2 linked regions of the Cricetulus griseus genome follow. The protein of the gene in region 2 purifies or fractionates together with the protein of the main gene of each other region. This does not show direct contact. Links are inferred from orthologs where the notes say so. Each region holds a gene or a part of one and is shown on either strand. Other genes may lie near its edges. The genes, in order: Mapk14 and Ptprr.

Region 1 (4,605 bases), about 94 Mb from region 2:
TCGAGCCGGGGCCTCAGGTCAGCAGGTTTGTCTCCAAGCTGCGCTGCCAGAACTCGCTGCCCCGTTCCCCATGCGCCCGGGCGGGGATTAAGTCTTTAAAATTCTCTGAGTTCACATTCTTAGGAGTCTCCAAAGTTTCCTTTAAATCTCTACAGTCGGGATGGTTCTCATGGGCAGGAGTCAGGCTCAAACCCCAGGAATGGGTTTTGGGTGTTTCAGAAAAGCAGCCCAGGCTGCCTGCTAGCTACTCATTGCACAGCAGAGGCTGGGCTTCCTTCCAACTGCTGGGGTCACAGAGAGTAATAAATATATATTTATTACATTTATTTATTACATATATATATTTATTACATATATACATATATATTACATATATATAAATATATATAAATAAAATATATATAGTGTGTGTAAAATATTCATATACATTATATTCATATATATATGGAAGAGGAGACCTTCCTGGAATACAATGACCTACCAGCATGTGTGTGTGCATGTGTGTGCGCACATACGTGTGGTGTGTGTGAGCATGTGGTGCATGTGTGTGCGCGCATACGTGTGTGTGCGTGTGTGTGCACGTGTGTGCGCGCACGTGTGCGTGTCTGTGTGTGCATGTGCGCGCGCGTGTGTGTCTGTGTGTGCATGTGCGCGCGCATGTGTGTGTGTGTGGTGTGTGCATGTGTGTGCGTGCATACGTGTGTGTGCATTGTGTGCGCGCATACGTGTGTGTGTGCATGTGTGTGTGTGTGTGTGCATGTGTGTGCGCGCATGGGTACATACGTCCCTGTCCCTTCCAGCACAGGAATCGAACCCAGGACCTCGCAAATGCTACGCAGGCCCCGAGCCCGGCCGGCCCGGCCCCTGGAATTTGCTTCTGAAACGTCCAGGGCGGCTCTTCAGCCTGAGAAAACTGAAGGGGGCTCCTGGGCGTCTGGAGGGGCGGCCTGGGCTCCGGGGCAGGGGCAGCGAGCGTCCGTCCATCAGTCCGTCCGTCTGTCCGTCCGTCCGTCCCTGGGCAGCCAGGGGCCGGCAGCTTTGCCGCCCTGGCGCCAGCGCTCGCCCAGCCGACCACAGCGAGGCGCGCGCGGCACGCGCTGCGCCCTCCCCGTCCGCCCCGCGCTCCTCCCCGCGCTCCTCCCCGCGCTCCTCCTCTCCGTCCGCCCCGCGCTCCTCCCCGCGCTCCTCCCCGCGCTCCTCCTCTCCGTCCGCCCCGCGCTCCTCCCCGCGCTCCTCCTCCCCGTCCTCCTCCGCCCCGCGCTCCTCCGCGCGCTCCTCTCTCCCGTCCGCCCCGCGCTCCTCCCCGCGCTCCTCCTCCGTCCTCTCCATCCTCCCCGCGCTCCTCCTCCGAGAGCCCCTGCCCCGAAGCCCTGCCAGCCCCGCCCGCTCCGTGTTCTCGCGAGAGGCGCCGCCTCCGGCGCGCTCGCAGCGGCCCCTCCCACGGGCGGGTTCCGTATTGGGTAAGATCCCGGCGGGGCGGGGCGGGGCGGTCGGACGGGGCGGGGCCGTGGGCGCGGGCGGGACGGGGCGTTGTTCTCGCGAGACTTCCGCGAGAGGCTCCGGTCGTTGCCGGGAGGAGCGCGGCGGCCGGAGCCAGCCCACGGGAGCCCGGGCGGGCGGGCGGCGCTGCAGCGCTGCGAGCGGGAGTCGTGCGGCGTCGGCGCGGCGCGGCTGCAGCGCAGCGGCGGGAGCAGCCTCGAGCCGCACAGCCGGCTCCCGCGCGTGCCCGCGGCTCTGACAGGGGCCGCGGCGTCCAGCCAGCCCCGCGCGGGCGAGCGGCGGGCGAGCGGCGGGCGAGCGCCGAGGACAGACAGCGTGCGGCTGCAGGCAGCGGCCCCGGCCGCCGCTGGAAGATGTCTCAGGAGAGGCCCACGTTCTACCGGCAGGAGCTGAACAAGACCATCTGGGAGGTGCCCGAGCGCTACCAGAACCTGTCCCCGGTGGGCTCGGGCGCCTACGGCTCGGTGTGGTGAGTGTCGCCGGGCCTGGGGTCCGGGGACGCCGGAGCCGGCGGGGCGGCCCTGCCTGCGTGCCTGCGTGCGAGCCTCCGTGCGTGCGAGCGTGCGAGCCTGAGGCCCGGCCTGTGCCCGCGGCTCCGCGATGCGCCCAGCGGCAGGAATTCTGCCCCGGCCGGGCCCTGCACCCCTCACTCACCCACCCGGGTGCAGCCGCGCGGGCTCCACCCTGCGCCCCTCCCGGGCTCCCTCCGCAGCCCCGCAGCCCCGGGAGAGCGGGCGAGCCAGCCGGGCGGAGCCTCTGCGAGGAGCGGCAGGGCACACAGCCTGACCCCGCGACTGCGGTCACCGGAACGAAACTTGCAAGAAAAAAAAAAAAAAAGCGCTCCCTTCCCGGATTTTTGTTTTTGTTTTTTCCTTTTTCTTGCAAGACTCCATCTGGAGGGGGGACAAATCTGGCTCCGGAAGCGTTCTTTGGGAATTAGCACATGAATTAGCAGCACCCCGAAGAGCCTAGAATGCTGACTTTATCTCGGCGAGCGCGGTGCCAGCTTGCGTGCTGTGTTTCCGATTCGGTTGAAAGCGTATTTCCTTTTCGGGGCGGGAGGGTGGCAGCGCCTGCAAGGACGCCACCGCTCGCCGCTTAGTCACACACCACTGCTCATTTCAGTGTTGCTCCACAAATCAGTTTTCCCATGCGGGCCACAGGGACTCCAGATCAAGTGATCGGAGGTGTAAATAGCTTTTTAGTTGAAATAATTCCTGGGATGCTTTTCTTTAAGTCCCTTTGAAGATTTGTAGGGGCGCGCTATCAGCTTGCTTTTTTTTTTTTTTTCCCAGGGCTGAGGGACGTGGCTTTGGTGAGAGCAAAGGAAACAATGTTTCTCAGCTGTCATTCACACCGTGATTCTTGATTCTTTGTTGTTCATTTGAGACTTTGTATGTCCCTGGCTGCCCTGAACTTCACTCTTCTGGCTGGCCTGGAATAAAGGCTTTTACCACCTTTGCAAGGCCCTGGGAGTGGGTTTCAAATTAAATCCATACTATAAAATATCCACTCCAGAAGTGATTAGGAACTCTCCAGGGTTCATACAGTGTCTTTTAGGCTTAGTGTCTTCTTAGAGCTCTGGTTCTTGAGGTTCAACAGCTTAGCTCTTCACGTGCTTTAGTAATTTATATACACTCCTGTTTTCGAAGGTTTGTGAAATGGTTTGTTTTGTAACAAATTCCAGGGTTCTGCATGTGTTAATCTTTAGGTATGAGTCCTGTGTTACTTAAAGTCACACCATGAATTTCCTGTTTGGTAGAACCTTCTGGGTAATTGAGATTGTGCAATAGTGTCCAGCAACAGATCATATTGCATTTGTTGGCGCAAGCTGCTTAAGTTATGTTGCAGATGGCACCAACCCTGACGTCTTTCTCCCATGTCTACAGAATGGCAGTTCACACATCTGTCATGTGTATTTGCGACTGTTATCTTCATTCTCTAATATTTAATAGCTCATTAGCATACCTCAGTCCGTCATTCCTAATTGTTAGAGTATCAGGCTTTGCTTTCCATTTGAATGTTCAGGGAGTGGTGAAACAGAGTATCTCCACTGTAGGCCATCTGGGTGGGTGAACTTGCAAGGTTTCCTATGGACACTGCTGTCCTGGCCGAAGAGCCAGGTTTGCAATGAAGTTCAGTGGTGAAGTGCCATTAAAACTACGCTCACTTCCTCTGGTGCTGTTCTTTTCTATGAAATAGAATTCAGCACCACCTCACAGTTGGAAAGGACTTGTACCAAACAGCTTCTTAAAAGTAGGTGATACAGGGCAGGGCGGTGGTGGCACACACCTTTAATCCCAGCACTGGGGAGGCTGAGGCAGGCGGATCTCTGTGAGTTCGAGGCCAGCCTGGTCTCCAGAGCGAGTGCCAGGATAGGCTCCAAAGCTACACAGAGAAACCCTGTCTTGGTCTTGAAAAACCAAAAAAAGTATGTGATACAGGACCAGTGATGTAACTCATACTACAGCCCCTGGTCTTGCATATGGGAGGCCCTGCATTCCATCCCCAGCAATACACAAACAACACAAAGCAACTCATTAGCAACTCATTATGTATAAAATGTAAAAAGGTATGCAGCAGGAAGCCTTCTGTTTCTGTTCCCCAGCCCTGTTTTCTCTTCCTTCAGTGACAACCGCTATTCGGTTCCTTGCATGTCTTTTTCAGAGACGAAGAGTTTGTACCAGAGATGTAAGGTGTAGCCTATAACCTGTCGATGGGGGAAAAGACAGCTGAAATTGTACATGATGACTGAGCAAATAACTCTCTCAAGTTATTTGAAGCTGGGTTTTTTTTTTTTTGAGGATTTATTTATTTTATATATGTGTGGGTATTTTGCTTACACACATATATGTGCACCCCATGAATGCTTGGTGCCATGGAGACCCTGGAACTGGAGTTACAGACAGTTGTGAGCTGCCATGTGGGTGATGGGAATTGAACCTGGGTCCTCTACAGGAGCACTGACCACTGAATCATTTCTTCAGGCCTAAAGTTGTGTTTTCAGTTAGCTTTTTGGGTACAACTGAAAACACCTTTTGAATTTCTTTCTTTTCTTTTTCTCCATCCCCCTCCCCCGCCCCCAAGACAGGATTTCTCTGTGTA
Region 2 (4,325 bases):
TATAACAAAAGGACAAACAACAAACAGCTGAACAAACAAAAGATGACAAATACCTAACTATTGCTGCTATGGCTGTTTCACTCACAGAGAACATCTGAAAGGACAGATGAGACTTCCCAATGTGAGCAAAGGCAAGACTCATCTCTAAATGGTGTCTAGAACTTCTTACAAATAGACATCCAAGAGATAAATTAGAAGTCTTAAATCCCCCAGAGAACTTGCTTTCTAGTCATAAACTGAGGTTGTTTTAAGCCACCAAATATATAGATAACATATTAAAATGAAGAAATTATTAATCCATACTGGCCATTGGTGTTTTATTCGATATGAGGAAAAGAGTCAGATGGCTACTCTCCTTTTTTCTCTTTAATGTTCGTTCCAGTATTCAGACAACAGGGGTATATTACTTCCAGACTTGCAAGTGATCACATATAAAAGCTTGAGCTATGAAAGGGCATGAGACCACACAAGCTCTAAAACACTTTCTGAGTGGTTTGGAGTCTAACCCTGCATGGATGGATGTCACACATTTCTTTCTTTTGATTTCCACCAAGGAGGAGTTTATATTTCACTTCAGTGAGTGTAATAGGACTCTGCTTCCTCTCCTCTGGGGAGCTACACAATTCTTCAGGAAACATGATAAAAATGAAATGTGGTTTACTGGCATGTGTTTTTAAGATACAAGTAAAAATGCTATGGTTGGATGCCCTTGGTAATCTTGATTATTTTTGTCACAGTGGGCATTAACAATTTTCTGCATAACTTAAAGAGAACAAAGATGAGTGTAGAATAAGTTTTAGTGTGCCCTTGGTTCTTTTATCTGCAGAAGGAGATGGCAACAGAATAATAACCATATAATTTTCCACAATGTGTTATTGATTAGCACTTTCAGAGACATCATATTTCTAGCAAAGCAAGATCCTGAGTGTTGTTGTCTGCAACAAAGCTTTTATGCACAGCACGACTGCCAGTTTCATCTTAGTACGTCTTGATTCTTACAATGAGACTTTTCCTCCCTTTTAGTAAGATTGGGCTGTGATGTTTATTATGATTGCTCTATCTGTGATTTAATTATTAAATTGTCCCATAGAAGTAAATGAATTGATCAGAAGAACAAGAGGCTATATATGGCATATTCTTCCTTATTACAGCTAAATATAGAAATGGTTAATTTTATAACATGCAATTCAGCATCAATTATTAACTCAGTGATTCATGGTGATCATTTAAAAAGTTAAACTGAAGATTGTGGAAGCTGTAGGGGAAGGTATTTTGGTATCAGAAAGAAAAAGCCACATCTTCTTTGAAGCTTTACTATCTAGTATGTAAAAGTTTTAAATATGTAGGAAACCCTCTTCCTAATATAATTATATGTATGCATATATATAAATAATGTGGGTGTGTGTTCTAGACACTAAAAGAAAAATCATTGAAAACTCCCTTCTTTCTCCTTAGTCTAAAATATGGTTGCTAAACCTCAACTTCTACCTTGAAATTTTGGCCCTCATTTGACATTATTATCTGCTCATGTTTCATACTAGGGATCACTTAAAAGGAGAAAAAAAATCTGGCATCACTGTATTTTATAGGAAATGGAATTTGATTTCTCAAACTGGGTGATTGTTCTCTGCAATATTGGATTAGGCAGGAAGTTAATCCAATTTTATTAAAACAATGGATGGAAATACCAACTACATTATTTTTGACATTGTTATGGATTCTTTAAGACCACAGATAAAATCAAAACGGTCCATAACTTTGTTCAAATACCAGAAACACTAATACCATTTTAAACATTCAAACAAAAATTCTAATTTTTCATTGATGTATGTCCAGACCTTGCACACAGTGCCAAGAACCCAGTGGGAATTCAATAAATACTTTGTGAAATAAACCTCTGTGTAAACATTGTGTGAGGTTCTCTCTATCTGAGAATATTGTTTTCTATGCAGATTAAGGAATGAATTCATAAATAATTTTTGAATTTTTGAGTGATTGAGAGAGCTATGAAAATTAAAAGCAAGATTCTTGGTTCAGGGAAGGAAAACAGGGAAGCAGCCATTCCCAGCTGGGAACTAGGCCAGGGACATCTCATATCAAAACTTTCATTCATCAGTCTCTTTACTAGATCACAGCAGAAGATACTGACTGTCATTTTAGTGAAGTCTGTATGTAAAGGTAGGGGCCCCAGATGCCTCCATTGTACAAATGTCTAGATTTCCTGGCTCAGCTCACTGTAACACCTTCTTTCATTTTCTGATTTTCATAAATGCGGTCATCTTTTCCCCAGTGTTAGTGTGGGGAATACACTAAACAAAATAGAAAAACAACAAACAAACAAACAAACTAAAACATCTGCCCTGCTTTCTATCGTGTATGAAACTTTCGGGTTCTGTTCAAGTGGATGCATTTGCCATTCCATTCTTTGGAGGTGGTTGTTAGATTTGCTCCAGACTCCGGAGGATACTGAGTCATTACTGTTGAGACACACTGGATAACCGCATAGGGTTTCTTCATTTCAGACTTAGAGGCTAACTCTGTTTCTCTGAGAAGAAAAAGGTTCTCTGCTGACTCACTTAAGCAGCCACCAACAGAAATCCCAACGTTATGCTCCCGACCTCACGGCATCACCCCGACCACCCTCACCGATCCCGATGGATTTGATTCTCTTACCGGAATGGCAACTGGCTGAATGTTGTGAGGCATCCGACTTCCATTTGTATTCTTCTTGTTATTCCCTCACCATCGCAAGTTGCACTAATAAAGGCTGTGAGCTGAGCTGAAGCCTCGTTTAGTCACCTGGAGCTAACCCGCTGCTACTATTTCTAGAGACACCGCCGATCCCTGGTCTACAGCATCAGCCTGTGCTTTCCCTGGAGACCCTCCAGGTGCTCACTGTTTAAGTTTACTAGCATTGAAATTCATGTTTTTTTTTCTTTCCCCATGGTAGTTAGTGAAACTGTAAAATGAGAATTTTATGAACTGTGGACACTGTGTTGCAAGAGAAAAACGTTTCCTTTTTTTCCTTTAAAAGAAAATAGTATGTTTACAAGATCTTTTCAGAAAAAAAATAAGTTCTCTTAAAAGTGATGCCATGTTCATGAATAATTTTCCCACTGGATAACAGGGGTCTCACAGACATCTAATTTTAACTCTCTATGACTTAGGAAACATTGATATTCACTTATGTATTGAAGAGGAAATTAAAATGACTGATAACAAACCCAATTAATGAGTTGGATATTCAACTATATTCTGGTCTGACTCAAAAACTAATTTGTTTCCTACCATACCACTTAGGTTTAATACATGATTCAAAATAAATAATTGTTATAATTATTACTATTAACAAAGTATTTAGTTTGAAAATAAGATACTATAAAGGCAAGGAAAACATTTTCTTTGTCTATATGTGCTAATGTCATTCTCATAGGGTAAAGAATATTTAAACACTTTGAGAATCCCACTATCTATGCCATAACTCTAGTAAGACTTTGATTAAACTTGTTTACACATTGCTGGTAGTAAGATAAATTAATTTTTTAAGAGCACCAAAGCACTCCCAATAGTATTAAGATATTCATGACCTTTGACCCAATAATTCTCCACCTGAAAATGTATCTTATTGAAATGAGTTCAGTGAATAAGTACTAAGATTTTATTGTCTAAATTTTATTTAAAAAAATCAGAGGAAATCTTAAGGAGCATCAATAGCCAAAGCATAAATAAATTTGGATATGCCAATGGAAGGTAATTATTGGGTAATTTTCTCTCTTCTATCATTAATCTGCCACTAGAAACTAGATCTTTCTGGAGTGGATCAAATGTCCTGATAGTCTTCATACTAAAACAAAGCCTTTGGTCTCAGTGGCATACACCCATAACCTCTGTGCGCAGGATGCAGAGGCAGGAGGATCTGTGATTGAAATGAAAGACAAAAACACATAGTGAGCTGTAGGCCAGCCTGGGCTACAGTGTGGAGACTGATTGCAAAACATAAACAAAAACCCCATCTAAAGCTACACAAACCAAAAGGTTTTCTCATCCAGCTACCCTTCCTTATGTTATCCCTTTATAAGATAAATCGTTGCATCATTAATTGTTTTTCATTTCTTTTCCTGTCTGCCAGATTCCTAAGCTGGGGACATGATTCTGGAGTTTCCAACAAGTCAGGTTCAGCCATTTACCCCAAGGAAAGCCAGAAAAAGTAATATGAAAATGGCAGGGAGGGATTTTAATCAAAATGGCCACTTTGTGAAAATACAAATTAAGTATCCTGGTCTATCTGTGAGGTACTGACATAAGATTTAGGTTTGAACAGAAGG

What was found.
Region 1: the proteins of Ptprr (region 2) and Mapk14 purify together in Homo sapiens (affinity purification with mass spectrometry; 4 studies listed by BioGRID and IntAct, counting the BioPlex papers as one, with this or other methods). This does not show direct contact. The link is inferred for Cricetulus griseus from reciprocal best matches to the Homo sapiens genes PTPRR and MAPK14.

What each region holds. Positions count from the first base shown.
Region 1 is NW_023276806.1:233,801,299-233,805,903, forward strand, and holds the start of Mapk14 (mitogen-activated protein kinase 14), read left to right. Parts: upstream 1-1,682; 5' UTR 1,683-1,853; coding exon 1,854-1,969; intron 1,970-4,605. UniProt on the Homo sapiens protein: Serine/threonine kinase which acts as an essential component of the MAP kinase signal transduction pathway.
Region 2 is NW_023276806.1:140,075,926-140,080,250, forward strand, and holds the start of Ptprr (receptor-type tyrosine-protein phosphatase R), read right to left. Parts: upstream 2,979-4,325; 5' UTR 2,707-2,978; coding exon 2,674-2,706; intron 1-2,673. UniProt on the Homo sapiens protein: Sequesters mitogen-activated protein kinases (MAPKs) such as MAPK1, MAPK3 and MAPK14 in the cytoplasm in an inactive form.